Arabidopsis thaliana: one gene and its partners. The protein of the gene in region 4 purifies or fractionates together with the protein of the main gene of each other region. This does not show direct contact. Each region holds a gene or a part of one and is shown on either strand. Other genes may lie near its edges.

Region 1 (8,121 bases), on a different chromosome or scaffold from region 4:
TGTTGTCTGATGCAGTTGACCTGTACGAGGCAATGGAAAAAACAGGGGTGAAACCGAATGAAGTTGTTTATGGTTCCTTAATTAATGGGTTTGCTGAGAGTGGAATGGTCGAAGAAGCGATTCAATACTTTAGAATGATGGAAGAACATGGCGTTCAGTCCAATCATATCGTTCTGACTTCCCTTATCAAGGCTTATAGCAAAGTGGGGTGTCTTGAAGAAGCTAGGAGAGTGTATGACAAAATGAAGGATTCAGAAGGTGGCCCAGATGTTGCTGCATCAAACAGCATGCTAAGTCTGTGTGCAGATCTTGGCATAGTTTCTGAAGCAGAATCCATTTTCAATGCTCTCAGAGAAAAAGGCACATGTGATGTTATTTCGTTTGCAACAATGATGTACTTGTACAAGGGCATGGGCATGCTCGACGAGGCTATTGAAGTGGCTGAAGAAATGAGAGAGTCTGGTCTACTAAGTGACTGCACTTCATTTAATCAGGTTATGGCTTGCTACGCTGCTGATGGGCAGTTAAGTGAATGCTGTGAACTGTTTCATGAGATGTTAGTTGAAAGAAAGCTCTTGCTGGATTGGGGAACATTTAAAACGCTCTTCACGCTCTTGAAGAAAGGTGGGGTGCCAAGTGAAGCTGTGTCGCAGCTACAAACCGCATACAATGAAGCTAAACCACTGGCAACACCAGCAATCACTGCAACTCTGTTCTCAGCCATGGGTTTGTATGCATATGCGCTGGAATCATGCCAAGAGCTCACAAGTGGTGAAATTCCTCGCGAGCATTTTGCATACAACGCAGTGATATACACTTATAGTGCATCAGGAGACATTGACATGGCCCTAAAGGCATACATGAGAATGCAGGAAAAAGGTCTAGAACCAGATATTGTCACGCAAGCCTACCTTGTTGGGATATACGGGAAAGCGGGAATGGTGGAAGGTGTGAAGAGGGTACATAGCCGGCTGACGTTTGGGGAGCTTGAACCAAGCCAATCGTTGTTTAAAGCAGTTAGAGATGCTTATGTGAGTGCAAACAGACAGGACTTGGCTGATGTGGTGAAGAAAGAGATGAGCATTGCTTTTGAAGCTGAAAGGGAGTGTAGTTCAAGATCTGGAGAAGAAGAAGAAGACGATGAAGAGGAAAATTCTGAAGAAGACGAGGCATTTTGAAGTGTAGCCACAGATGTATGTAAGAAATATTGTAGAATATAGGATTTAGTGGAAATGGACTGTACAGTTTCACAGAAGCCAAAGGAAATATGCATACTTAAGCCTCAGATTGATCTCTGGTAAAGAAATGTGTATCTTAAAACTGTTATAGAAAGAAAAAAAAAGGTTCCACAGGGTCAAATCTATAAAAGCGAGCACCTTTGGCTATGGTTTTGGTAGAGGAATTAGCATACGCTCCTTACAACAATAGATTGATTTGCATCATCGGGTTGGTCTTCTGTTGGTTTTGGTCTCTGGATTGAACATCTTTCTCCTGTCTTGCTTGCTCTTATTTTCAATTGTATAGCATCAAAGCCCATGAAAAGAGCCAGATGTTCTGGAATTGATTCCAATTTGGAATCTTGTCAGTTACTGGTGATGAATATCAACATGGAAGATATGAAACAGAGTAGCCAGCAAATTCCTTCCATTCGGAACAAAGAGTCTCTCAGCTTCAGTCAAAGTATATCAGTTATTGATCTCAAGAAAGTAATAGTAGTGAGCAATGAAGATGATGATGGAGCTCTAGAGTTGAAGAACAGAGGAGTGGAACGAACCAGTGGAGAACTCTTGAAGACCACAGTGTCAATGTGTTTATTGTTGTCTTTGTCTTTCTCTAAAAGTTGTAAAAAAAAAGGGTGTGAAGCTAAAGCTAAATGGTATGTAAGCAATGTTTTGCAATTTTAAATTTACAAAATAACACTCGGAGTTTCTGAAAGTTTAATTTTGACCCATAATATTTGATATTTGAGGCATTGTCCTGGAATTAAAACCAAATTGAAACTCCTTCGCGTGTGTTTTCTGCTGCATTTTTACCTCTTAGCGTCTCCGGCGAAAACCCACTACGACTGAGTATGGCGCTCGAAATCGAAGCTCGAGAGTAAGATTTCGCTTTCTCTTACAAACCCTAGTTTTCGTTTAGTGTCACTGATATGAATTGTGCTCCAAGAACCATCGTTTACGAATGCTCAGATGGATCTTAGGTTACATGTTTGGAGAAAACATCTTGAATGTTGGTTTTTTTATATCCTCCATACTAAAGTTGTGGTTTTTAAATCTACCCATAATTTGTTTTAGCTTGGTTCTTCTAAAGCTAATTGCTTCTGAATATCTAGATTCCTCCGTAGCTATTCTTCGTTTAAATTAACGTCGTATACGAAAATTTGAGGGAGATCATCGTTAGAGTGTTTTGATTCTTTGCAATGCGTCTCGAGGAAAAATCCAATTTGTATAAATTTGAACTCTTGTTAATTCTCGGCTTGGATTGAAACCATTGACAGTATTATTAGCCATTTTGTTAGTAATATTGGATGGAGAACGTTTTGATGCTATATGTCAGCTTTGTGTAGATCTTCATCCCTAATAGCTCTCTATTGTGTTGAATGTCTCAGTGTAATAAAGATTATGCTTCAGTTCTGCAAAGAAAATTCCTTGAATCAGACATTCCAGACATTACAAAGCGAGTGTCAGGTTTCCTTGAATACAGTAGACAGCGTCGAGACGTTTATTTCTGATATTAATAGTGGAAGATGGGACTCGGTACTACCTCAAGTTTCCCAGCTTAAACTTCCCAGGAATAAACTTGAAGACCTTTATGAACAGGTTTGTTCTTTTACTCTGTGAAATGTAGAAGTGTATAAAAATAGTGATTGTCATTGTAAGTTTTGTTTATTTTCGGGGTGATTTTTTCAGATTGTATTGGAGATGATAGAACTTCGAGAGTTGGACACTGCCCGAGCTATTTTGAGACAAACTCAGGTGATGGGTGTCATGAAGCAGGAGCAAGCAGAAAGATATTTGCGGATGGAGCATCTTCTAGTCAGAAGCTATTTTGATCCGCATGAGGTATGGAAACTATATTATGCTCGACTATTCAATATCACGTTGGGTGTTGCTTTTGTTGTTGCTGTGTCACCTAAGCATGGTTGTCCGCAACTGTTCAACAGTTCAAACAATGTTGCTATATCTGTTATCTCTTGCATTTTCTGTACTCTACTTGCGACTTTTGATATCTTTCAAAATCTTAAGTAGAACCAGTGAGCGGTTAAACATGAAGTTGTTTCTAGATGAGGGTCTCAAAGTATAACACATGCTCGTATTTCTGAGTACAAAAGTATCTTTACATGTTACTAGCTCTTTTACATGTTGATGGATTTGACTTTTCTATCTGATTAGTCTTTTGAGGTGTATTGTCTCCTAGTCATTGTTCATGTTATGCACAAAGAGTGGCGTTTTTCATGTAATCATTTCCTTGTGATAATCATGGTTTGCTAATTTTACCTTTGTTTCTAAGGCTTATGGAGACTCAACTAAAGAAAGAAAACGGGCACAGATTGCTCAAGGTTGGCCATTTCTTCTTTATTTTCTACAATAACAATTTTCTTCAGTTATTGTATGATTAATTACCTGAAGGAACCAAGTGATGTTCTGGAATACTCTCTCTATTGCATGCTTAAATATTATTATGACATGAAAAGAAGTTATGACGAGAACTTATTTCCTGTTTAATGGTTATAGAGTTTTTGTTTTCTCTTGCTCAGTATGTACTCAAGGTTCACTAATTGTTTGTTCTCCTACTCGATCAGCTGTGGCTGCCGAGGTTACCGTGGTACCACCTTCACGGTTAATGGCTTTGATAGGTCAGGCTTTAAAGTGGCAACAACATCAAGGTGATTATCTAAGGAACTGTGGATGCTACCAAACAGTTCTGTCAAACTTCATCTCGTTTTCTTTTACTTTTTTGCCTACATTACTAATATATCAATGGAATCAACATATGTACCCTCTCTCATTTCCTAAAATTTACATACACTTGTGTCAGGCCTGCTCCCTCCAGGAACACAGTTTGACCTCTTTCGTGGGACGGCAGCTATGAAGCAAGATGTAGAAGACACACATCCTAATGTTCTTACTCATACCATAAAGGTTCATATTCACACTTTAATAGCTTCTTTAGCTTAGTGGTCTATGATCTGTTGCTCATGATTATTTTGGGTTTTCTCATCAGTTGAGTTCTTGTCTAATTTTCATATCTTTTTCCTTGTGCTGGTGCTGGTGCAGTTTGGTAAAAAGAGTCATGCAGAATGCGCTAGATTCTCACCAGATGGACAGTTTCTTGCATCTTCTTCTGTGGATGGTTTTATCGAGGTGAGTTGATCCGGAATCTGTATGTATGATAATACAAGTTATTAGTCTTTAAAATAATTCTGTGACTAGGATTGCTCAGACTTGAAAAGCATTACAGGTATGGGATTACATAAGTGGAAAGCTCAAGAAGGATTTGCAATATCAAGCTGATGTAAGCTCTCATGTCTTCTTTTCATTTTTTAATTCTAACTCAGTACGGGGTCAGATGAGCTGTTAGTACATTTTAATCAAATGAAAATAATCCTTACTGCATCTGATTATTGAACGTGTGACAAGTCTGTGAGAATGATATGGTGGATTACTTTTTGCTTTTTATTCCAAAAATGTCGCCCATGAGATTCCTGAAGCACCAAGTATATGGTGGATTACTGTTATCTTTGAATTTTAATTTTTTCTCCAATGTAACTCCTAAAGCACCAAGTATCTCGTCTGAGACTTCCTGGTATACAAAATATCAGTTTTGGATAAAGAGTTCCCATTCCATCCTCTTTACTTACTATGATTAATTTCTGACAGGAATCTTTCATGATGCATGATGATCCTGTCCTCTGCATAGACTTTAGCAGAGATTCAGAGATGCTTGCATCTGGGTCACAAGATGGAAAGATTAAAGTAAGTTCCAGCTGCATATGTTTCCTTAAAGTTGAATTTTTTGTCTGAAGATAGACTATTGCGGCAGTTTGGTAGATATATCTTCTTCCTCTCATTGGTCCCATATGTATTCTGATTGAATACAAATAGAAAAACTAGACTTAGATGCATGTCACTTTTGCAGATCTGGCGTATAAGGACTGGTGTATGCATACGTCGTTTTGATGCACATTCCCAAGGAGTTACAAGTCTTTCCTTCTCTCGGGATGGAAGCCAATTACTGAGTACCTCCTTTGACCAAACTGCAAGGTTTTATTAGTTATATCTTTATTTTTTTATTTTGTACTTGCGATATGAATCTCGTCCTATCAAAAACTTGAGGCTTTATATTTCTTTGATGGTAGAATATTCTTTTAACTTTTGATTGCATCTTTTTTCTTCTTGTTTTTGTTAATATTTTCCTTTTCATTTGGTAGTTATGTAAGTTTATTGGTAGAGCTTCTAGTCGAATATAATATCAAATTCTTATTATATATTTTGCTTTATTTTATGCAGAATCCATGGTTTGAAATCTGGGAAATTGTTGAAAGAATTTCGTGGTCACACATCTTATGTAAATCATGCCATCTTTACAAGTGATGGAAGCCGTATTATCACTGCCTCCAGTGATTGTACAGTAAAGGTAAATTCTTCGGCTTTGGCTGTCAGCAGTATCATTGTTTCTCATTTGGACTCTCTGCCCCTTCTGCCGTGTAATAACAGTCTTGTTTCCTTGCACAGGTCTGGGATTCTAAGACGACAGATTGTCTACAAACATTCAAGCCGCCACCTCCGTTAAGGGTATCTTTTCTTATACAGATTTATGTACATCTTGTAATACTTTTTCTGATCTTCTGTGGCAAACTCTTTGGTTACCAAGTCTGAATTTTGAAATATAGGGAACTGATGCATCAGTCAACTCTATTCACTTGTTCCCCAAAAACACAGAACACATTGTTGTGTGCAACAAGACATCATCTATATACATTATGACACTCCAAGGACAGGTAAATTTCCAGCAACGGTCTCCTGCAAATCAGTGTCATTGTCATGCCAAAACTAAGATTGTTCACATGCTTCTATATTGGAATCCTTTTGCAGGTTGTGAAGAGTTTCTCATCCGGTAATAGGGAAGGAGGAGATTTTGTAGCAGCATGTGTATCTACAAAAGGAGATTGGATATACTGCATCGGCGAAGACAAGTAACACTCTAACCTCCTATATCTATCGTTTTATTTTTGGATAAGTTCCACGAGTTTGATTTCAAAGGATAATCTTATGGTTCCTTTCTTTTCGGGTTTCATCTTCTGCCTTTGATGTTCGTAATGGTGTTTGCACCTACAGGAAACTGTACTGCTTCAACTATCAATCTGGTGGACTTGAGCATTTCATGATGGTAAGTTTATATCCGTAACAGACATGCTCCAAAAGATTTTGGATGTTGGAAATTTGAAAGTTGCATTTGAGACAAACACATAACAGTAACTCACTAGAGTAATGAAGTCCCTTGTGTGTTATAATGTTTGATTCATCTGTTCTCCATTTTAGAGCTCAGATTATCATCCTCTCTCTCTCTCTCTTAATACTTATCTTAGTTGTCTTTTATTAGACCTGGTTTCTGAATAGTTTATGCTTATGACAGGTGCATGAGAAGGATGTGATTGGTATAACACACCACCCGCATAGAAACCTCCTTGCTACCTATAGTGAAGATTGCACTATGAAGTTATGGAAGCCCTGAGTTTTCTCATCATCAAGTCTTGTTTTCTGTATGATTAGTCTGTCTTTATTTGATTTGCACTCTTCTCGGGTTAGAACTAGTGTAATGTGAAACCATCTTTGCAAAGATCTCAGCCATTTTGGGAACACTACCCACAGACTCTAAAACCAGCATTTCAGATTTTAAGACCGTTTCACCTGGCCTTGAGCCTTGTAGTAGTTTATTTAACAACGTGTCTCCTTCCTCTTTGACCTTCCCAGCCAGTCAACTCCCATATACTTTTTAGTCTTAGGAAAGAATAAAGTCAAGCTCAAAAATATATAAAAAAAAATGAAAACTTGGGAAGTTCAAAAGAAACAAATAATGATTCTCTTAACTTGATGAATTACTCACAGGTAAATTTACAAATGATGATACGCTAACTGCTTTCCCTAGAGACCATTACAACGGGCAAAGCAGTTCTTCTGGCAACTTATTCAAAAGGAAAATTGTTTCTCTTAACAAATCTAAGAAAATATTATAAGAAAAAAAGAGGAAGAATATAAGATCAGAAGAAATGAAGAAGAGAAAGTAACTGTACTAGCCAGACTATTGCCATGTCCTTTTGAACCTACAAAAATAACAGTAAAACAAAATACATCAAATCTATAAACTAAGATCAAATATATGAGATGGTGTTGTGTAATAAAAAAAAAACTTACTATGTAATCTCCCAAAAAAAATGGCAAGACACTAAGCTCCAAACCATGAGAAATCATCACCAAAACCACCATAGTCAAAGTCCAAGTCAGTCAATGGAGACAGAATGCCACTCTGATACTGAGGCAACTCACTCCCTGTTACACCGTCTTCATTTCCGAGTAAACCAAGGGGTTGAAGTACTCCTCCTGGGGCCTCCTCGAACCCACTGTTGTGAGGTGGTGCTTGTGTATTCATTTCTATCTGTGTATGGAGAATGTCGTCTTCCTGGTTATGTACAAACACTGCAGAGGGATTGTAGAAGTTGTACCCTGACCCAAATTGAAGCTCTTGGTTAGGGTTTGGTCCATAAAGCATTGGCCTTTCGTCTACAGGCATCATAGTTTGTTCATTAACAAGTGGAAGATAAGTATAGTTGTTATTGAACTCAGGAACCACTAGTTCCAGACCATTATCCTCTGGTCCTAAGGCAATATTTGGGTCGACAACATCGTCCTCTTGATGAGTACCGTTGATGTTATATTCTAGCAGAGGGGCATCAACATGATTCATATCAGGTAAGATGTTTCTTTGTTGAGCTTCAGGTTGTTCTTCCTCTTGTCGATTGACAGTTCCGGATCTAATTCGAGGTCTTTTCCTTCTGCGATGTTTCTCTGCTTTATCTTGATCTCTTACTGAATGTGAGATGGCTGTTGGTTGTTCTTTTTG
Region 2 (8,368 bases), on a different chromosome or scaffold from region 4:
GAAATCCTTCCTAACCAGCCATAGATAGGGAAACTTTATTTTCTTCCAGAAACTGCCATCTCAGAAAAACTGTTTGAAATATGCAGACTTTGGACCACGAGCTTGTACAGGCTCCTGAACTGGAGAAACCGTTCAGGATATTGTTAGCATTCTCAGGCTTGAGGCAGGCGTTGACCACCAACCCAGGATATAATCTGCGAGTTTCTGAGTGTCAAGAGGCAGCAAAAGTTCTTTTGACGTATGTGCAAATCTGTTTGATTCATATTTATCTACATTTTCGCTTATTTAGATTTAAATTTCAGTGGAAATGCTGCAAAGTTTATTTCTCTATTGCTTGTGATACTCATTTTTCTGCATCACAAGATTCACACCCTTCTCTTGATTTACTTTTTCTTTTCAGTGCATCTGGGAACAGTGAGCTGGAACCTACGTTGTGCAATGGTAAAAAAACTTTAAGTGTGGACTTTAACTTATTCGTTGCATGCTGATTAGTTTTTCTTTGTTGCCATGTCTCTAACTGTCCCACTGAATAGTTGAGCATGCGGTCTATGAAGCTCACAAGGTAAGAAAATAAGATTCTTAAGCTTTTGGTAAAACAGGTTCCACCTATATCAGGCCTATGTAAATATGTAATACAATAATACTTGTTCGTGCAGCATGAGCTGAAACCGGTTTTAGCTAAAAGAGCAGAGCATTATTTCTCGGAGAACATGCGAGTTATCAAAGGCAAATGTTCTTGAATTCTTGTAGATGTCTCTTTATGTGCATGAATGATTCATTAAGCTCTTTATGATGCTTAACGGACTTTTATGAATGTTTGTTCTTAAATTTCAGGACGGGAAGCCTGGGCTTCAGGGAATCTTGAAGAATTTGGAAAGCTAATTTCAGCATCCGGCTTGAGTTCCATTGAGAATTACGAATGCGGTACATTACACTCTCTTTTCTTCTCTCCCAAATGCAACATATCCTATAGTGAATACAGACCACTAGTATGCTTACAGACATTATTCTCTCTTAGATTCATTATTTTGGTTTTAAATTCTGTGAGTTTTGTGAAGGTGCGGAGCCACTGATCCAGCTATACAAGATTCTTCTGAAGGCTCCTGGTGTATATGGAGCTAGATTCAGCGGTGCAGGTTTCAGGGGATGTTGTCTAGCCTTTGTAGATGCAGAAAAAGCTGAGGCAGCTGCTTCATATGTGAAGGATGAATATGAAAAGGCCCAACCCGAGTTTGCTAACAATCTAAATGGAGGAAAACCTGTTCTCATCTGTGAAGCAGGTGACGCTGCTCGTGTTCTTCTCTGATCAATCCTGGAGTTTTTGGTTTCTTCCCCACTTAAACTCGATTTTTTTGTCCCTTATATCTCTCACGCTTATTGATTCTTTGCTTGTTTATCTCTTTTTGATCCTGTCTGAGAAATTCTCTGGTCTCTTTGGTCGGAGTTTCATCATTGCTTGATACATTTTTTTTGCTACAAATACATAATGTAAATCATTCTCTACCGTTTTCGAGTCGATAGAAGAATCGCAAACTTCAAAAATGTGACTAACATTTCTCCATAAATTTGTTAAATTTTCAACAATTGGTGAATTTAGTTCTGTAATTGATCTAACAAAGACACTATACAAGTATGAAATTAGAAATTGAAATCGAAAGTTAGTTATTATAATCTTGTTTGTATAAAATAGTGTATATCTCAAATAGAGATACAGATTAGTTTTTTGTTTGGACACAAAGACCCCCGCCAAAGTATTGAAATTCGCGCCTGAGAAATTCTCCGGTGTGGCTCTCTAGGGTTTTAGCACTTTAATCCATTTGTACTTGTAAAAATCCCTAAAACCCTCTGGGCATGACTCCAGTATTATGCCATTCCACTGCTTCAATCCCTAACCCTAACTCTCTCATGTCTCTCTCCTCCACTCTCCGTCTCTCTTCCTCCCTTCTTCGCCGCTCCTTCTTCCGATTCCCCCTCACCGACCCATTATGCCGTCTCCGCCGCACTGAACCCTCCGCCACGCGTTTCTTCTCCTCCCGTACTCCTCGGTCCGGCAAATTCGTTGTCGGTGCTGGTAAGCGCGGAGATGAGCAGGTCAAGGAAGAGTCCGGAGCTAACAATGGCGGTTTGGTTGTTTCTGGGGACGAATCTCGTATTGTGCCTTTTGAGCTACATAAGGAAGCTACTGAGTCGTATATGTCGTATGCGCTCTCTGTTTTGCTTGGACGTGCTTTGCCTGATGTTAGAGACGGACTAAAACCAGTACATCGGAGAATTCTGTTGAGTGACTTTCGTTCGGCTCAAAGCTACTGATATTTTTAAGCTTAGTCAGTGGTATTGTTCCTTCTAATGTTCGATTATTTTGTCTTCCAGCTTTGCAATGCATGAGTTGGGGATGTCATCTAAAAAACCATACAAGAAATGTGCAAGAGTTGTTGGAGAGGTATATTATTGATTTTTGGAAAGTGTTTTCTCAGTCGATTTCTCTAAATATCTTATTCTGAAGAACGATTTGTGCTGTTGAATTCTTTGGGTTTTCAGGTTCTTGGTAAATTCCATCCGCATGGAGATACTGCTGTTTATGATTCTCTTGTTAGGATGGCTCAGGTAAATATCTGAATTCATGGAATGTAGTCCAGTCCTCAAATAATGTTTCAGGCACGATTCGATTCTTCCCAAACTTCTGACTTTTTTGTTTTAATACCTTTGTTTTTTTGGCAGAGTTTCTCCTTGAGATGTCCACTTATCCAAGGCCATGGAAATTTTGGCTCAATAGATGCAGATCCTCCTGCTGCTATGCGTTACACTGAATGCAGACTCGATGTGAGTGCCTTTTACCTTACTTTCCCTTCTAGTTGAAATGGTTTTCCCTGCAATTCACTTTTTCTAGTTGTTTCACTTGTCTTTGCTATCTATAGTGTATCTCTCATCTCTACTTTTTCTCTTGTCTTGAGATGAACATGTATTTTTGTCAGTGTTTTCAGCTGATTGTACTTATTTTTTTTCTGCAGCCACTGGCAGAGGCAGTACTATTGTCTGATCTGGATCAAGATACGGTAACCTCACTATTAATTTGTTGCCAAGTTTACCGATACTCAACTAGATGGTCCTTAACCTCTTTTGTTTTGGCAGGTGGATTTTGTGGCCAATTTTGATAACTCACAAAAAGAACCAGCAGTGTTGCCTGCTCGTCTTCCTGCTTTGTTGTTGAATGGAGCTTCTGGGATTGCGGTAAAATAATCAAACAAATCTTAAATCTGAACTCCTTAATAGATTTTGTTCGAGATTTCTTCAGTTAATCTTGTGCAGATTTTCCCTGCTGTATGAGATTGAATATGCAGTTGAATCTTGATCATTTCACATTGTTTAGGTTGGCATGGCAACAAATATTCCCCCTCATAATCTTGGGGAGTTGGTAGACGTGCTTTGCGCTTTAATCCATAATCCAGAAGCAACGGTATCACTCATCTCCCCTTTGTTTTTCTGTGATTTATCAATTTGTGGGTCTTTTGTTTTACATGAAAAATCCTCTGTTTTATAAGTAGACAACTCATAAGATTTTGTTTCCACTTTCTTCTTCGTCTGGGCAGCTGCAAGAACTGCTGGAATACATGCCTGCACCGGATTTTCCAACTGGAGGAATAATAATGGGAAACCTTGGGTAACTCTTTGCTTTCCAATTTCTCCCCAAAGGGATCTTATACATTAATGACTTTTGTTTGCCCACCTCGTTTGCTAATTTTTTGAGAGTAGGCTATCTATAGGATCAAATAGAAAGACTCACTTCTAAAGTGTGAAACTTTTTTTTTATGGAAATAGAAAAGCATTTTGTTTTGTTTTGATCTATGATTCTAACAGATTACAGAAGCTGTACCTATATCTTAAAAGGAACCTAGAAAATGAGTGAAGAGGATGGTCCAGTTAATAGTTTTCCTTTATTTGTCTGTCATATGCAGTTTTTGAATCATCATGTTTTTTTCTGATGGTGTGAGTGATTTTTTAATATTCTGAAAGCTTATATGTTGTGTAGTACATTTACTCTCGAGTTTGTTGAATACCTTTATTAAAAAAATAGTTTGCATTCATATGCCATTTCCTTTTACAATGTTGGATTCTTATAATTTTCTAATGTGTGTTTGCGCTTTCAAGGGTTTTGGATGCTTACCGAACTGGCCGAGGGCGAGTTGTAGTTAGAGGAAAAGCTGAAGTTGAATTGTTGGATCCAAAGACAAAGCGGAATGCAGTTATTATCACAGAGGTGATCAATTTAGTTTTTTAGATTAATGTTCAGATCTCCATGGATGAGGGTTTCAAAAATGTTTATTAGCAGTAGAGTAATGCCTTTAGTGTGACTTTATTGCAGATTCCTTACCAGACAAACAAAGCTACACTTGTCCAGAAGATTGCCGAACTTGTTGAAAATAAGGTACAACTAAACTTGCGACATCTAATGTTTATTTTGCTTCACTTAGCAATATGTACTTATTTTACTCAGAGGTGTGTTACATTTCTAGTATGTCCTTATATGCTTGCAAAGTTTCTTCTTTATTCATTGATGTTGGTGTTTGTTTTCAGACGCTAGAGGGCATAAGTGACATACGTGACGAGAGTGATCGTAATGGGATGCGTGTGGTTATTGAGGTATTACACTGTTTCCTCTGCACTTAGATGTATTAGTCTGCTTTAAAATTTCATATTGGAAGGTAATTAAGATAATTTCCAATACTTCTCTATAGCTCAAAAGAGGAGGGGATCCTGCACTTGTGCTTAATAATCTTTACCGGCATACTGCCCTTCAATCAAGCTTCAGCTGCAACATGGTGGGGTGAGTTGCATCAACCGATAACTTCTTATTTCCTGTACTTTTTTGAAGAGTGGGCATATAAAAGAACTTGGGCATTTTCCAGGATGACTAGTTGAAAATTCTCTAATGAGTATGTTATGCTTGTAAATATATTAAGGATCATGTATTCACATATGCGTTTTTCTTTATCGTAACTGGATTATGGTATTCTGTGTTTTACAGTATCTGCGATGGAGAACCCAAGCTAATGGGATTAAAAGAACTACTTCAGGTGACCACTTGTCTATGTAAATCATTTATCTACGTAGCCCACAAGGAGTAATAGAAAAGTGAAGATCAGAGATAGGATATTTACTTCTGTGCTACTGTAATCACATTTTAAAGTAAATTTGTTGATTACTTTCTGTTTCTTGCTTGTGTGTAGGCATTTATAGATTTCAGGTGTTCTGTCGTCGAAAGGCGTGCAAGATTCAAGCTTTCACATGCACAACAACGAAAGCATATTATTGAGGTGCGACTAGAAATATTTAACTTTCTTAAATCTGCTCGTGAAGACCATGATGTAATGATGTAAAGCATTTTTTCTAATATCTTCACTGTATATATGCTTAGGGTATTGTGGTTGGGCTTGACAATGTGGACGAAGTAATCGAACTCATCACGAAGGCCTCAAGTCATTCCTCTGCTACTGCTGCTTTACAAAGTGGTGAGCTATATTTTACTTTGACAATATAATCAATGTAACAATCTTGAACTGCACATTATAGGTTGATGTATAAACAGAATTCGGAAAAGTGAGCGAGAATTAGGAGTCAAAAAGTAGACTAGAGCCAATTTTTCTTAGGTGGACTGATAGATGTAGTCTAGGATGTACACTATTAAAAGAATACATCTTGTGGTGAACTCTTCCATATTACATTTGAACATTATATATTTCTTGTCTTTTTATCTGGAACTGCTGGAGTCTCATTCGTTGTAAGATTTGATCTTAATTGCAAAGATTTCTTAGGGATTTATGCTTTGTAAGTCTCTATTGTAAGGGACGATACCATATATTAAAATTAACACTTGTCAAACATTTACTTATGTAGAATATGGTCTTTCTGAGAAACAAGCTGAGGCTATACTGGAGATAACTCTTCGAAGGCTAACTGCTCTTGAGGTGCTTTCTTATTCTCGCTAAGTTCAATTTATGAAACTTGTAGGCTTGACAATGTTCTAACTAGATTCTCCCTTCATAAATGCAGCGGAAAAAGTTTACTGATGAAAGTAGTTCACTAACAGAGCAAATTACAAAGTTGGAGCAGCTATTATCAACCCGAACAAACATCCTAAAGGTGACACACTCACTTTTTAGTTATCTGTTCTTTTGGCTATTGATATTAGAAATTTAGAACACCTAGATGCTAGTAGAATGATAGATGCATCAATATATGTACTCCAAATTTGTAAGCTTGACTGTTTGAGTCCACTGAGGTTCAAAATCTAGTCCATGCATTATGATGTGGTATAAGGATTCAAATGCTTCTTCCATTTCTTGTTTGGTACTTATTTTTATATCTGTAAAGCTGCTTACTATATGTTGCTGTTCTGGGCCAATGTTAGGAAGATAACTGATACATGATGATTTTCTTGTAGACCAAAATTGAACTATTTGCTTCGTTTACTTCATTGTATATTACTTACTACTTTATTCTCTTCGTTGTTTTTCTTGTATTTTTCTTTAGTTAATCGAACAAGAAGCAATAGAGCTGAAGGACAGATTCTCAAGTCCCAGGCGTTCAATGTTGGAGGATTCTGACAGTGGTGATCTAGAAGATATAGATGTTATTCCAAATGAAGAGATGCTGATGGTATGTTGCATACTTAAACCTAGAAAGTTTCTCAACGTTGAAATTTTTGTTGTTTGTTTTGTAACTTTTGATATGGATGACTATAGGCAGTCAGCGAAAAGGGCTATGTGAAGAGAATGAAGGCCGATACATTCAATCTTCAGCATCGTGGAACAATTGGCAAATCTGTTGGGAAACTAAGAGTTGATGATGCAATGTCTGACTTTCTTGTTTGTCATGCACATGACCATGTCCTCTTTTTCAGGTATGTATACCTCAAAATTTCCTTTGTGTTTGCTACGCACATGGATATTAATTTTCTGCCTTGTTGTAATTCATTGCTTATACTTGTTGTACATTCAGTGACCGGGGTATAGTTTACTCAACCCGTGCATATAAAATTCCAGAATGCTCTCGCAATGCAGCTGGTACACCTTTGGTTCAGGTAATTACATATCTGTGTATCTATGTTTTCCTTCTGCTATGTCAAAAATTATTCAATTTTATGAAAGGCTAATGTTTTGCTGTGTTCATGTGACTTGTGGAAGCAGATATTATCCATGTCGGAAGGTGAAAGAGTAACCTCCATTGTTCCTGTTAGCGAGTTTGCTGAAGATCGCTACCTCCTGATGCTTACAGTGAATGGCTGCATCAAGAAAGTATCTTTGAAATTATTTTCAGGAATACGCTCAACTGGAATCATAGCAATTCAGTTGGTTTGTCCCCTTTTTCTTCTTAGTCATATAGGAAGTCTTCTTAACAAGGTTACTCTAACAAAATTATTTGTCTTCAGAATTCTGGTGATGAACTGAAATGGGTTCGTTGTTGCTCAAGCGACGATCTTGTAGCCATGGCATCCCAAAATGGAATGGTCGCCTTGAGTACATGTGATGGTGTAAGTTGTGGCTCTCATTTTTTCTAAATGATTCATCTTTCATGTAAACCTTTTAATACTTGAGCAAACTCTGATGGCTTTTGTTTGTTTAGGTTCGCACACTGAGCAGAAATACAAAGGGAGTGACTGCCATGAGACTCAAGAATGAGGATAAGATAGCGAGCATGGACATCATACCTGCATCTCTGCGGAAAGATATGGAAGAGAAGTCGGAAGATGCTTCACTTGTGTATGTTTTTCTTAACTTATATCTGCTGATGTTTGCTCTAGAAACTTACTTATGTCTTACTGTCTTCTTTTGTTAACACAATCACAAAAGCAGGAAACAATCCACGGGTCCATGGCTATTATTCGTGTGTGAGAATGGCTATGGAAAGCGTGTTCCTCTGAGTAGCTTCCGGCGTTCGCGTCTGAACAGAGTTGGTTTATCTGGATACAAGGTAGGATCTGGATTTTCACCATTTTTGGTTGTGTTTGTGTTGATTTTTCCCTTACATCTAAATCTCAATTTGTCAGTTTGCTGAGGATGATCGTTTGGCTGCTGTTTTCGTTGTTGGTTACTCCTTGGCTGGTAAGTATACACTGCCACAAATACGGATTTAAATGTTCTTTGATTGCTGTTTATATATAATCTCACCATTGGGTTTTCTTGCAGAGGATGGGGAGAGTGATGAGCAAGTAGTTCTGGTGAGCCAAAGCGGAACTGTGAACCGGATCAAAGTCAGGGATATCTCAATCCAATCTCGCAGAGCACGGTACTCCCTTCATGTGACAGTCTTTTCAAATGTATATTTTATATGGTTTCTCATTTGATTGTTAATTTCTCAGGGGAGTGATTCT
Region 3 (5,306 bases), on a different chromosome or scaffold from region 4:
CAACATCAAGCCGTCCAGAGCTAGGATCCACGCGGAGTCTCCCGGCCAAGAACTCATAAGCGTCCATGAGTTTCACCAACGCCTTTCTCAGCTTCTCCGAGACCATCTCCGGTGGAAACTCCTTGTTAGGTCGGAAGAAATGAACTGTTTGAACGTCAAAGTTGAGAATTTGGTCGACGTTGGATAAGAACATGGATTTTCTCTCGCTGGTTTCTTCAGATGGGAAAATGAGTGTTGATTCTTTGATCGTAACCTTAAGATCTTCAAGAAGCAACGGTGGAGATTCTTGGTACGAAGAACCCATTTTGCAACCCTTCTCTCTCTCTCTTTCTCTCTAAGTTAATTAGGTTTTGAGTGAAGTTTGTGATTTGGGTTTCAGACTTAATCTATATTATATAGACTAACACGTAGTAAAAGGCGTTTTTAATTTTATCTTGGCTTTATGATAATGTACGTGTACATTATAGTATGAAATAATCCATGGAGAGTAAATTATTGATCCCATAATAAATGTGACTTTTTAATAAAAAAAGATATGGTACGGATCGTTACAAGAACAAACAAAGCAGTTTCGTGCTACGTAGACGTCGTTTTTATCCAGTCACATGAAAACGTTATTCTTTAAAAGCTAAAATTGTCACTGTTGTATTATTGTGTTGTGTTTATAGATTTGGGAAGAATGATGGGCTGCATTGGTGGGTGTGAGTAGGGTTGGTGATTTATGTTTTTTAAAATTTGATAGGAGAACTTTGATATGTCGGTGTAGCTACATAATATGCATGTGATATATCAACCTTTTTGTTGTGATATTTGCCAAACTTTGACTTCTCCATTTGTGGTTTATGGAATAATACGATTTTTACCCATTTGCAGTATCTCATTACGGTTACAAACTTACAATCTACAATTAGTCTAGTTTCTAACCTTTTTCTTGCCATATTAAAAGGCATGAACTCAAAATATGGCCGAATCCAAGCCCGGCCCGTTCATAAAAAAGCCGAAACATTTGTTTTAGGCCACCTAATATAAAAAGTTTTTAGGGCCTCATGTGTAAAATTTGTCCTACAATATAATTTGTCTAGTGTTATATTTATTTTTATATATGTCCAAATGTTTATATTATTATCAACTTGTTATTTAATTTTAAATATATCAATTATAAGATTTAAAACTTTTTCACAGTTTAAAATTTTATATTTTTGATAAAATTAAATTGTTTAACTAAAAATTAAATTAATCTATAGACAAACTTTTAAATTTGAATCCGATTTAGATTTATTTTAATTTTATTTATCATATAAATTTAAATAATTGTTTAAACATTTTAGCCGATGTAACGTTTTTTTATTAATTATTAATGTATGTCTATTTTCTTATATTTCGAATTATCGAATTAAATATTCTCCACTCTAATTATAAGATAAGTTGAATAAACTTTGTTTTGTTTTTAGTCTCGACTTTTTTTTCTTTACATTTCTTCAAAAAGTATAATAATTTTTAAAAACATTATTAAAAAAAAAATATTTCTAAAACGCAGAGAAAAAATTGAGGCAAATCTGTCAGTATAAACTTGTAATTTCATCGTCTCCGTCTTCTTCTTCGTTTATCAGTTCTTCGTCGCCTTTCGCTTATGAAAAATTCACACTGGTAAAGCTTCTTCCTTTACCAAACCCATTTCTCTTCTCTAGCTCCTTCTGGGTTCTCTTTTCGAAGAACCCTAGTAATCGCGAGAACCTTCTTCCCCCTTTCTCTTCGCAAAATCAGAAATCATAATCACAATCTCTTCGTTTTTTTTTGCAGTTTGCAGGGCTAATTTCTGCGTTATCGTACTTCTAATTTGTTGAGATAAACATGGCGAGGAACGCAATCTCTGACGATGAAGGTACCTTAATCGCTTCGTCGCAAACCCTAATTTTTTTCTGTGTGAAACGCCGTAATAATACTAGGGTTTTGTTTATTTCTTCTGATTTGTATGAAAAAATTGAATCCTTTTCTCTTTTGCGTAGAGGATCATGAGCTTGAGGATGACGACGGAGAGCCAGTTCATGGAGATCCAGCTGAGCATGATGAAAACGATGATGAAGAAGATGATGATGACGGTATAAGTTTTTTCCTTGATTTTGACTTCTCCCAGTGAGAAATGTGTCGTCTTTCGTTTCTTTTTGCTTACCACCCTAAATCTGGAAGCTGTAGAGTCTGATTGCATCGAAGGAAATTAGTGGTATGGTTTGGTTTAGTACTGAAGCGCATGCAGTTCTTTGTCTTAAAATCGATTCATTTGGAGAAATTCTGCTGCATTTGCTCCATTAGAAGATGCAGTGTCTGGATTTGGCAACCAAAAAAAAAAAAAAAGTGAATGCATCTTGTTTCTTAGATGTTTACTTATCTGCTGCAAAGTCTCTCCTTCTACCACTTCTTGTTTCTATATTCTCTGTTTCATACGGTTGCTTGATTTGTTCCTTTTTAGACTTCATGGTTTCTGCAAGTTTTGAGCTGCACACATTTCTCTCACCTTGGGTTTGAGTATTTTTTTTTCTTTTTCTTTCTAGGCTTTTTAACTTAGATTCAGGCTATTTTTGTTCCATGATGTGGGATCCGTATATCTGTTTTGTAGTTGGGAATGAGTATGAGAATGATGGGTTCATAGTGAATGATGAAGACGAAGAGGAAGAAGAGGAAGAAGACGAAGAAAGGAAAGATAGCGATGAGGAGAGGCAGAAAAAGAAGAAGAAACGAAAGAAAAAGTGAATATTTTATATCCTTACTCATTCTCTTAGATTTTATCCTTTTCTAACATATGAAAAACTAAATGTTAGTGTTGACATGCATGATACTTTTGAAGAAATGTTCCCTTAATTCTCAGCAGTCTTTATTTGTGATTTTCATACATTGTTTGTGATGAGTATGTAAGTTACCATTAGACGAACTATAGCAGGTCTGTTCTCTTTCTGACTAACCTTCCATTTATGATAATTTTAATAGGGACGAAGGTCTTGATGAAGATGATTATTTGCTTCTACAAGATAACAACGTCAAATTCAAAAAGGTTAGTCATATTTGTGTATATAACAATACATCAGGATTTTGTAGATACACTAAAAATATATGTGCAGTACTAATACATTTGACTTTTTTCTTGAACCATGACAGAGGCAGTATAAGCGGTTGAAGAAAGCTCAAAGGGAACAGGGAAATGGCCAGGGAGAATCATCCGATGATGAGTTTGATAGTAGAGGTGGAACTAGGAGAAGTGCTGAGGATAAGATCAAAGACAGGCTGTTTGATGATGTTGATGTTGATGGTAGGTTCTCTGTGCCTTCTGATACTATTATGTTGACTGTTGGCACATAGTTGACTATGTACATTTTGTGTCTACTAGATCCACCTGATGATGTAGGTGATGAGGAAGACTTAGTTGTGGAAGAAGATGTAGTTGGGAGCGAGGATGAAATGGCAGATTTTATTGTAGATGAAGATGATGAGCATGGTCCTCCTAAGAGGTATTTTTTTTCTGTCTTTTTTGTGCCCTAACATATCACTTATGTCATGTACATTTTCTGATTCTAATCAACTTACTTTTCAGGGGCAACTCGAAGAAAAAGAAATATAGGCAGGGATCAGATATTACTGCTATGCGAGATGCTAATGAAATATTTGGTGATGTTGACGAATTATTAACAATTCGCAAAAAGGGTTTGGCATCTAATCAAAGGATGGAAAGAAGGCTCGAAGATGAGTTTGAACCAACTGTTCTTTCTGAGAAATATATGACAGGGAATGATGATGAAATCCGCCAGCTTGATATTCCTGAGAGAATGCAGGTGCATTATCTTCTTTAGTTTTCTCTATGTATACTTGTGGTCTATGTTTTCTTTGGTGTTCAAGGATAGATGTAAAGATATCTTGTAAACTTTGACAGATATCTGAAGAAAGCACCGGAAGCCCTCCTGTAGATGAAATTAGCATTGAAGAAGAAAGCAATTGGATATATGCTCAACTTGCTTCCCAACTTAGAGAATCTGATGGAACTTTTGATGGGCGGGGTTTCTCGGTTAATAAGGATGACATCGCAAAATTTTTGGAGCTACATCATGTGCAGAAATTAGAGGTTTTGGATTCATTCTCTCGTTGGATTTTCTTTGATTCATTGATTAGCTTGCTAATGTTTTCTGTCTCTTCTAGATACCGTTTATAGCTATGTACCGAAAGGAGCAATGCCGGAGCTTGTTGGACACTGGTGATTTTGATGGCGCCAATCAAGGCAAGAAACCTGAGACCAAGTGGCATAAGGTAAGCAATTATCTTGGATAAACAACAAGTGCTCAGGTTAACATTTATTGTCAGAGGAAATTTGGTGGATTCTATACTATTTTCCAATGCAGGTCTTCTGGATGATTCATGACTTGGATAAGAAGTGGCTCCTTCTTCGAAAAAGGAAAATGGCGTTGCATGGTTACTATACAAAACGTTACGAAGAAGAGTCTAGGAGGGTCTATGATGAAACAAGACTTAATCTAAATCAGTATCTTTTTGAATCAGTCATTAAGTCTCTTAAAGTTGCAGAAACAGAAAGAGAAGTTGATGATGTAGATTCCAAGTTCAACTTGCATTTTCCTCCCGGTGAAATTGGTGTTGATGAAGGGCAGTATAAGAGGCCGAAAAGGAAATCACAATATAGCATCTGCAGTAAAGCAGGGCTCTGGGAGGTTGCAAACAAATTTGGGTATAGTGCTGAGCAACTGGGACTTGCATTGTCCCTAGAAAAACTGGTCGGTATGCTTTTATATTGTTTGATTTGCATGTTGTACTGGAATGGCAGTTCTGACGCTAAATGAGTTGCAGGTTGATGAGCTTGAGGATGCAAAGGAAACACCAGAGGAGATGGCTAAAAACTTTGTGTGCGCAATGTTTGAAAATTCTCTGGCAGTTCTGAAAGGTGCACGGCATATGGTATATACTCTGCAATAATACTATTTTTTGAATTGCTTAGCTGGGTTTAATATCAGAAGGACTTCCCTAATCACTAATGCGGAGATATCCCATTTTTCCTTGTTAGGCTGCAGTTGAGATAAGTTGCGAGCCATCAGTCAAAAAGTATGTCCGTGGCATTTATATGGAGAATGCAGTGGTCTCAACAAGTCCAACAGCAGATGGAAATACAGTAATTGATTCGTTCCATCAGTTTTCTGGGATTAAGTGGTTGCGTGAAAAGCCATTGAGCAAGTTTGAGGGTGCACAATGGCTTCTCATTCAGAAGGGAGAAGAGGAGAAACTTCTTCAAGTAACCTTCAAGCTGCCTGAGAATT
Region 4 (7,728 bases):
CATATGATCAAAATGGAAATATATAATCTAACAAGAAGCATATAACCCTAAACCCAAAAATAATTGTATATGACCATGGTCAATTAACCCTAAACCTTATACCATCTACAATAAACTCTATAATCATTGTAAACAATCATAGTTCCTTAACACTAAATCTAAAACCCTAAACACTAGATACTAAACTCTAAACATTAAACCCTAACCCCTAAATTTATACCCGAAACCCTAAACCCTAAATCTTAAATCCTAAATCCTAAATCCTAAATCCTAAACCCTAAACCCCTAAACCCTAAACCCTAAACCCTAAACTCTAAACCCTTGATATTAAACCCTAAACCTGTTAAACCATAAAGACTAAACCCTTAACAATATACATATACCATATCACGTATACCCTAAACCCTAAACCCTAAATTCTAAGATCTTCACTTTAAAACTTCTTGTTGTTGTCCATAAATATTAAACATAAATCCCCTAAATATAAACAAATTGAGATAGAAAATCCATATTATCCAATCCATATGGACAACAATGGAATATATAATCTCCAATGAGAAACATGTAACCATAAACCCTAAATCATTGTAGACAACTTTGATTCTTCAACCCAAAACCCTAAATCATCTAAACTAAACGCGAAATCCTAAACAATAAAGCCTAAATCCTAAAATGTAAACACTAGATACTAAATCTTAAACCCTAGACATTAAACCCTAGCCCTTGACTTTAAAGCCTAAACCCTAAAACCTAAGTTTTATATGTACATAATCTATAACCACCACTTTTGATCCATGATAATCTAAAGCACGCTTCTTAACCTGAAAACGTAAAATATTATTGAGATCGATGTGTTCATACACAATCTTACGATATACACTCGTATTTATGTTTTGTTAATATGTAATCGTGGATAAATAAATATAAACATTTTCATAAATAAACTTTTGTTGATATGACCAACAAAACTTGTTTCATCACATTTTATCAACATCTTTTACATAACGTAACACTGGTTTTATGAATAGTATTAACAAAACACAATCATTTTGAATTATCGACCGTCAACACACATCCACCAAACTCTGACCATGTGGTCATTTCAAATTATCGCCTATCACTCTTCTTTGATTTGTTTTGTATTTTTTCCATTTTTTCATTATTTGCTCATGTGTTTTAATGAAAATAGCATCAAACTACCTTTAAGTTACAAATTTATAGTAAGAATATATGTTTGGGTTCTTTAATTCAACTCTCTCTCTCTCTTTGAGGAATTTCCACAAATATTTGGTGGCCAAATCTAAGATTTGTAAAAAGACAAAAATTTGACCAAGACAATGATGGATACACTAAGAGAAGAAGAAACCTAGCAATTAAAAATGAAAATTTTAACCTTATGAGGTTGATTAAAGAATGAGAAACTGAATAAAAATCTTGAAAATTTCCAACTTTTAAGATCTAAGAAGAGAAAGAAAAAAGAAAAATCTAGATCTACTTTTTGGTGTTTTTGATGAGAGAGAAGAGAGATAATGTCTCAAACCATTTCCTTTTTTCATTAAGATATTTTAAGTGTTTTGTGTGTTTAATTTTGTAAAGAGTAGAGAAAAAAATGAATGAAAAGAGAGAAAAAGTAATGGTTGTAAATTATGGTAAGTTTGGATTGCTTAGGTTGGGTTGATGGTGTAGTAGTAAAAAAACTTTAAAAAGTGTTTACTCTTTCTAAAGTGCTTTATTGCGTAATTGAGTTTCAAAAAAGTGTCCAATTACCTAATATTCTCAAAAACATTTATCATGTTAATGACATTTCTGTAATTAACGTAAATGAGAAGGATATATATGGTTGATTTTTCTTTTCTTTTTTATAGTTACTTAATTTTCAAATTATTAATGTTATAAAACTAAAAACTATTCTTTTAAACATATATATTAATATAGCCTTAAATTTTAAGTGACATTGAAGAAAATTACGATGGAATTGAAAATGCTTACAACGATATTAAGTAGCTTAAAAATATGAAATTCTAAAATGTGCAATTCATAAATTTAAGATTCCTAGATGTAGTCCATAATTATATTTTTATCTGTTTGGTTTTTTATAATAAATTAGAAAAAATGGATAAAAAATGTAACCTTAGCTAAAAAGAAAAAGAAAGAAAGACCCAATAACCAACGAAATCCATTTACCCGTCCATAGGTCTTGGGTTCGGCCCATCAGTTTCCCGCCACATTGTTCCCGCCAAAACTCATAGTCGACATAAAGCCCTTGCCCCCACTCTCTCTCTTCGTTTAGAACTTTTTGATAAGAGAGAAAGAGATAGAGAAATTCGTAACGGAGACGAAGCAACGATGTCAGGATGGGACGAAGGAGCAGTTTACTACAGCGACCAGCCGCAGTTCCCGGAGGCCGGAGACGCCGCAACCATCAGTCCCCACGCCGTCTTAACCAAATTTAAGGAATTCATTCGAAACTTCGAGATCGAACAGAATTGTTTCCCCTACAGAGAAGCTCTCCTCGATAACCCTAAGCGACTTGTTGTCCACCTCGAAGATCTCCTCTCCTTTGATTCCGATCTCCCCTCCTTAATCCGATCTGCTCCTGCCGATTATCTCCCTGTGGTATGACTTCAAAAAAAATTAGGGTTCATATAAGCTTTGTATTGAGTGAGTCAATCTTTGAATTGTAGTTTGAGAAAGCAGCTGGTGAAGTGTTGACTGGATTGAAAATGAGGGAGGCTAATGAGGGAGGGGTAATGGAGGAACCTCTGACTAGAGATGTGCAGATTTTGCTCACTTCAAGAGAGGATCCAGTATCAATGAGATTACTTGGGGTATGTCTGTTTTTTTGTTTTTAGTATCAATGAGATTACTTGGGGTATGTCTATAATGTACTCTTTACTCTTGATAGGCACAGTACATCTCAAAGTTGGTGAAAATCTCTGGGATTAGTATTGCAGCTTCGAGAGTGAAAGCAAAGGCGACTTATGTGTTTTTGGTATGTAAGAATTGTAAAAAGACAAGGGAAGTTCCATGTCGTCCGGGTCTTGGTGGGGCAATTGTTCCTCGATCATGTGATAATATTCCACAGGTGAGTTCTTTTGATTCGTTTGTGATTTGAGTTTGTAGTTATCCTTGGTGTTGATTAGACCAAATTGGAATTTGTTTAGCCTGGAGAGGAGCCTTGCCCTCTTGATCCTTGGATGGTGGTTCCTGATAGGAGCCAGTATGTTGATCAACAGACCTTAAAGCTACAGGAGAATCCGGAGGTATAGATTTACATTGTAATGTTTTCGCTTTTTTTGCACTTGTATATATTAAATGCTTCTGAGTTTTGAAGGATGTTCCTACTGGAGAGCTTCCAAGAAATATGCTTCTCTCAGTTGATCGGCATCTTGTACAAACAATTGTACCTGGAACCAGACTGACAGTAATGGGTATCTACAGCATTTTCCAAGCTTCGTCATCATCTAACTCGTAAGCTTTGTAGTTTTATGTCAAATGAGAGTGTAGATTGTTTTCTGGGAGAGTTACACCACAACAATGATGGACATCTTTTCCTACTTTCTGATGTAGGCATAAAGGAGCAGTTGCAATTCGCCAGCCTTATATCCGAGTTGTTGGACTGGAAGACACAAATGAGGCCAGTTCCCGTGGCCCTGCCAACTTCACTCCTGACGAAGTTAGTATCGCATCATTTGGTTCTTTTTGTTTTCTCATTTGATAGCCTATGTCATCCATGGTTTCACAATGAACTATTGAAGTTAACATGGCTGAATTATTGTTACTGGAAACCAAATGCCTTAGGTAGCTGTTGGCTCTATGAAATTCTTTGTGTAACTCCCAAATGAATGTGATGGTGTTTTCTGGAAATATTCTCTGTGCTACTAGTTTACTATGAAACATTTAGGCCTGCTTGGAAGCCTAGTTGTACAATTCCATTTATCAGTTTTGTCTTCCATAATATTACTTTTAGGAGGAAGAATTCAAAAAGTTTGCTGATAGTCAAGATGTATACAAGAACATTTGCACCAAGATCGCTCCTTCTATATTTGGCCATGAGGATGTGAAGAGAGCAGCTGCGTGTCTTCTCTTTGGAGGATCCAGGAAGGTAGGAAACTGTGATAGCAGTTTTTATTTTCTGTGCACTTTGTATACGTTTTTGATATATTTATATACATTTCTATCTTTGATTCAGAGCCTGCCCGATGGAGTGAAACTAAGAGGTGATATTAATGTTTTGCTTTTGGGAGACCCATCAACTGCAAAATCACAGGTTTGTAATGTGGTCTCAGTATCAATGGTTTATAATAAGTGTGTTATTCTTTTTATATTTTCTTACGTCTCTCTTATTTGCTTGATATTCGTCTTACATCCTTCTGTTCAAGTGTTAGATTACAATCCTTACAAAATGTCTGTGTTATTTCCAACACCTGTAGCTTACATGTTTAAAGCTTAATTGCTTATTTTTTTTCTCTCTAGTTTCTTAAGTTTGTGGAGAAGACGGCTCCAATTGCTGTTTATACATCTGGAAAGGGTTCATCGGCTGCTGGGCTCACAGCTTCGGTGATTCGAGATAGCAGCACTGTATGTCCTATCTTCAAGTGTTTTTCTATGATTTGTTTAAAAGTAGTTGCTATGACAGATTCTCAGTTATTTATACATATGTTCATTGCAGCGAGAGTTCTATCTTGAAGGTGGTGCTATGGTTTTGGCTGATGGAGGTGTTGTGTGTATTGATGAATTTGACAAGATGAGACCGGAAGATAGGTAATTCAAATCTGAATCATAGTGTTGACGAATCTAATTTTTCTCTATGAGTAGAATTGATGGAATGTTTTTTTTTTCTTTATAGGGTTGCTATTCATGAGGCAATGGAGCAGCAGACAATCTCCATTGCAAAAGCTGGGATAACAACTGTCCTTAATTCTAGAACCTCGGTGCTTGCTGCTGCTAACCCGCCATCTGGTCGATATGATGACCTTAAGGTTTGAAATCTGGTACTCTCCTTTGGCAATATCATGGTTTTCCCGATTCTTGTTTGCAATATTCTTAAGAGATGGGTGTGTTTTTTTTTCTTTGGATTTGCAGACTGCTCAGGACAATATCGATCTGCAGACAACAATTCTTTCTAGATTTGATCTTATCTTCATTGTCAAGGACATCAGGAAGTATTCCCAAGACAAGGTAAGCAAGGAAAGGAACAATTCTTTCAGAAATTTTATGTAGTTAAAAGGGAAAACAGAGATTAATGATGGAGGTCACTGTTATTGGAAAGTTTGCTTCGTTGCTTGCTTATTATGTAGACATGATTAATGTTTATAATCTTTTCACAGGAAATAGCCAGCCATATTATAAGGGTTCATGCATCTGCAAACAAATTTTCGGATGAAAACACAGATTCTAAAGAAGATAATTGGCTCAAAAGGTGTGTTTTCATTCGTCGAGAAAACAATGTGTTCTCGCAGTTTTCTGTACAAAATCATGACTCTAAAATATAATGCTCTTTTTATGTTAGGTATATACAATACTGTCGAGCAAGGTGTCATCCCCGTCTCTCAAAAGACGCTGCTGAGAACCTGCAGCGGAAATATGTCACAATCAGAATGGTAATTGTCATTTACATTAGATTTGACAATAAGATGGTTAAAAAACAAAGTTGGTGTCAGTATAAAATTTTCGGCTAAACAGGATATGAAGAGACGTGCACATGAAACAGGAGAGGCTGCTCCGATACCTATCACAGTGAGACAACTCGAAGCTATTGTCAGACTGAGTGAGTCACTTGCAAAAATGAGACTGTAAGTAATCTTATTAACATAGAGATTCCTGATTCCTGAAACCTGATGGGATGTGCCGTCCATTGACATTGTTAAATATGTCAGGTCACACGAGGCCACACCAGATGATGTAGACAAAGCTTTTAAACTTTTTGATACCTCGACAATGGATGCAGCAAGATCAGGGATAAATCAACAGATAAACATAACAGGCGAGATGGCCAATGAAATCAAGGTTAGTTGCTTGTGGGGAAGAAAGAATCATCGTATCTCTAGATGTAATAACTAAATTTGGTATTGGTGTGAAAAAACAGCAAGCGGAAACACAGATAAAGAGAAGAATGGGGATCGGAGCTCGATTATCAGAGAGAAGACTGATAGAGGATCTGGCTAGAATGGGAATGAACGATTCAATGGTACCTAAGCTAACATCTTTGTTGTTTAATTTTCAGTAATGTGAATGGGATTTTTGAGGTAATGTGCATGTTAAAATGGCAGGTGAGGAGAGCTTTGTTGATAATGCACCAGAGAGGTGAAGTTGAGTACCAGCGAGAGAGACGTTCTATTGTCCGCAAAGCTTGATCGTCTAGGCATGCAATCTCTCTTCTTTAGTAGCAGCGATGACCAAACAAAACAAAATATTTAATATTATCAAGTTAATTTGTAGGCAAAAAGTAGAAAGAGAAGCTTATGTCATGTGTATTTGATGAAGATTCTTAGTAAACTTTTACGCTTGCTTCAAACTAATGTATTCTCCACCTTTGTTGTCCTTAGTTAAAATGTCACGCCAATGTTAGGAAAGCGTTTGAAGATTGCTGAATGGTATAATCTAGTGCCGATAGTTAAAGTAAAGATGCAGATAGAATAGTTGATAAAGTAAAAGTGTAATCTGAACGTATATGTAAATTAAAATTTTCTTAATGTTGTTATTAGTAGAATGTTGTTACCTTGAAAAAAAAATGAAATAAATAACCATGGTTGAACTTGACTCAAAATGTTCTTCTTTTAAACTGGTTCGGGTTACAAAACTAGTATGTTGTTGAATTTTGAACTGGTTCTGAAGCTCCCGGAATCTCTCAATTTCATTTTGTTCTTGTGTTGTTGAGAGATAATTGCTTCTCTATTTAACATATTTTTGGCCAATTACTTTACTCTATCATGCATAGCTTGGGAAACTCATGGCTAAAGCTGTTTTAAGTTGCAATGAAGAATCAATTCCTTCTGAACTAACTTCTTGGAAGAAAAACAGACAATAAGAGTACCATTGTTTACTTCTCAGTTCTCAATCACCATCGAATTAGATAGATATTTATGAATTTGGATTAGGCAAGTCCATGAAGACTCATTTATTATGGAAAACTGAGCATATAAATGAGCTACTACAGTTGAAACTAGTTTTTCTTAATTTCCATGACAAGATAATTATAGCAGAGATCAGAAGTTACAAGTGATCAGATTCTAACAACATTTCACTGAGAAGCTCTGACAAAGCTTGAAAAAGTTGAGGAGTCATCTTGCAAAAGATGTTGTGGTTTTCCTTGTTCAACAAGAATTCCACGATCAAGAATTAGGATGCTGTCTAAATCAACAACCGTAGAAATGCGGTGAGCAATGGTAATGACGGTTACGCCTTTGCATTCACTCGATATCGTGTTGTGGAGTAGGGAAGCTGTGTGAACATCGATGTTGGCGGTGCATTCATCAAGGCATAGGATCTTAGATGACTTGAGCAAAGCACGAGCAAGGCACAAAAGCTGTCTCTGTCCAACAGAAAAGGAACAACCAGATTCCTTTACATATGAATCTAACCCTCCTACACTTTCTACCGCTGCCTTAACTTTACACTTGTCTAGGATCTCCCAGATTCTCCAATCCTCACTCAACCCAAGAGGATCAAGGTTATCCCTACGAGAACCACAACTTTTTTTCATTATGAAACTGCAGGCAACACCTT

What was found.
Region 1: the proteins of MCM5 (region 4) and SMU1 fractionate together in Arabidopsis thaliana (co-fractionation; one large-scale study listed by BioGRID). This does not show direct contact.
Region 2: the proteins of MCM5 (region 4) and GYRA fractionate together in Arabidopsis thaliana (co-fractionation; one large-scale study listed by BioGRID). This does not show direct contact.
Region 3: the proteins of MCM5 (region 4) and GTB1 fractionate together in Arabidopsis thaliana (co-fractionation; one large-scale study listed by BioGRID). This does not show direct contact.

What each region holds. Positions count from the first base shown.
Region 1 is NC_003070.9:27,722,988-27,731,108, forward strand, and holds SMU1 (transducin family protein / WD-40 repeat family protein), read left to right. Parts: upstream 1-2,003; 5' UTR 2,004-2,071; coding exon 2,072-2,097; intron 2,098-2,608; coding exon 2,609-2,819; intron 2,820-2,909; coding exon 2,910-3,062; intron 3,063-3,510; coding exon 3,511-3,559; intron 3,560-3,802; coding exon 3,803-3,886; intron 3,887-4,038; coding exon 4,039-4,142; intron 4,143-4,277; coding exon 4,278-4,364; intron 4,365-4,461; coding exon 4,462-4,515; intron 4,516-4,880; coding exon 4,881-4,976; intron 4,977-5,139; coding exon 5,140-5,264; intron 5,265-5,510; coding exon 5,511-5,637; intron 5,638-5,735; coding exon 5,736-5,795; intron 5,796-5,893; coding exon 5,894-6,001; intron 6,002-6,095; coding exon 6,096-6,196; intron 6,197-6,338; coding exon 6,339-6,390; intron 6,391-6,636; coding exon 6,637-6,735; 3' UTR 6,736-7,044; downstream 7,045-8,121. Other genes in the region: AT1G73710 (Pentatricopeptide repeat (PPR) superfamily protein), read left to right, coding at 1-1,178; EIL3 (ETHYLENE-INSENSITIVE3-like 3), read right to left, coding at 7,447-8,121. UniProt on the Arabidopsis thaliana protein: Auxiliary spliceosomal protein involved in splicing of specific pre-mRNAs that affect multiple aspects of development. Required for proper accumulation of SMU2.
Region 2 is NC_003074.8:3,339,727-3,348,094, reverse strand, and holds the start of GYRA (DNA GYRASE A), read left to right. Parts: upstream 1-1,734; 5' UTR 1,735-1,851; coding exon 1,852-2,276; intron 2,277-2,370; coding exon 2,371-2,440; intron 2,441-2,538; coding exon 2,539-2,604; intron 2,605-2,718; coding exon 2,719-2,820; intron 2,821-3,008; coding exon 3,009-3,053; intron 3,054-3,129; coding exon 3,130-3,228; intron 3,229-3,367; coding exon 3,368-3,454; intron 3,455-3,587; coding exon 3,588-3,658; intron 3,659-4,146; coding exon 4,147-4,255; intron 4,256-4,360; coding exon 4,361-4,423; intron 4,424-4,572; coding exon 4,573-4,638; intron 4,639-4,733; coding exon 4,734-4,822; intron 4,823-5,023; coding exon 5,024-5,072; intron 5,073-5,225; coding exon 5,226-5,312; intron 5,313-5,413; coding exon 5,414-5,507; intron 5,508-5,892; coding exon 5,893-5,963; intron 5,964-6,048; coding exon 6,049-6,138; intron 6,139-6,528; coding exon 6,529-6,654; intron 6,655-6,740; coding exon 6,741-6,898; intron 6,899-6,996; and 15 more. Other genes in the region: GalAK (galacturonic acid kinase), read left to right, coding at 87-238, 401-441, 534-562, 657-726, 835-924, 1,059-1,306. UniProt on the Arabidopsis thaliana protein: A type II topoisomerase that negatively supercoils closed circular double-stranded DNA in an ATP-dependent manner.
Region 3 is NC_003070.9:24,310,873-24,316,178, reverse strand, and holds the start of GTB1 (global transcription factor group B1), read left to right. Parts: upstream 1-1,539; 5' UTR 1,540-1,647; exon of another isoform or gene 1,648-1,720; intron 1,721-1,800; 5' UTR 1,801-1,851; coding exon 1,852-1,882; intron 1,883-2,006; coding exon 2,007-2,099; intron 2,100-2,310; coding exon of another isoform or gene 2,311-2,352; intron 2,353-2,614; coding exon 2,615-2,744; intron 2,745-2,982; coding exon 2,983-3,046; intron 3,047-3,150; coding exon 3,151-3,301; intron 3,302-3,379; coding exon 3,380-3,500; intron 3,501-3,583; coding exon 3,584-3,821; intron 3,822-3,919; coding exon 3,920-4,108; intron 4,109-4,182; coding exon 4,183-4,290; intron 4,291-4,382; coding exon 4,383-4,769; intron 4,770-4,842; coding exon 4,843-4,950; intron 4,951-5,056; coding exon 5,057-5,306. Other genes in the region: GLC (HXXXD-type acyl-transferase family protein), read right to left, coding at 1-304. UniProt on the Arabidopsis thaliana protein: Transcription elongation factor that enhances the transcription elongation by RNA polymerase II (RNAPII).
Region 4 is NC_003071.7:3,522,007-3,529,734, reverse strand, and holds MCM5 (Minichromosome maintenance (MCM2/3/5) family protein), read left to right. Parts: upstream 1-2,234; 5' UTR 2,235-2,346; coding exon 2,347-2,616; intron 2,617-2,684; coding exon 2,685-2,828; intron 2,829-2,905; coding exon 2,906-3,085; intron 3,086-3,164; coding exon 3,165-3,263; intron 3,264-3,334; coding exon 3,335-3,471; intron 3,472-3,570; coding exon 3,571-3,676; intron 3,677-3,970; coding exon 3,971-4,105; intron 4,106-4,192; coding exon 4,193-4,270; intron 4,271-4,476; coding exon 4,477-4,581; intron 4,582-4,672; coding exon 4,673-4,764; intron 4,765-4,849; coding exon 4,850-4,982; intron 4,983-5,085; coding exon 5,086-5,181; intron 5,182-5,330; coding exon 5,331-5,422; intron 5,423-5,512; coding exon 5,513-5,603; intron 5,604-5,685; coding exon 5,686-5,795; intron 5,796-5,879; coding exon 5,880-6,009; intron 6,010-6,088; coding exon 6,089-6,190; intron 6,191-6,272; coding exon 6,273-6,356; 3' UTR 6,357-6,751; downstream 6,752-7,728. Other genes in the region: ABCC13 (multidrug resistance-associated protein 11), read right to left, coding at 7,244-7,679. UniProt on the Arabidopsis thaliana protein: Probable component of the MCM2-7 complex (MCM complex) that may function as a DNA helicase and which is essential to undergo a single round of replication initiation and elongation per cell cycle in eukaryotic cells.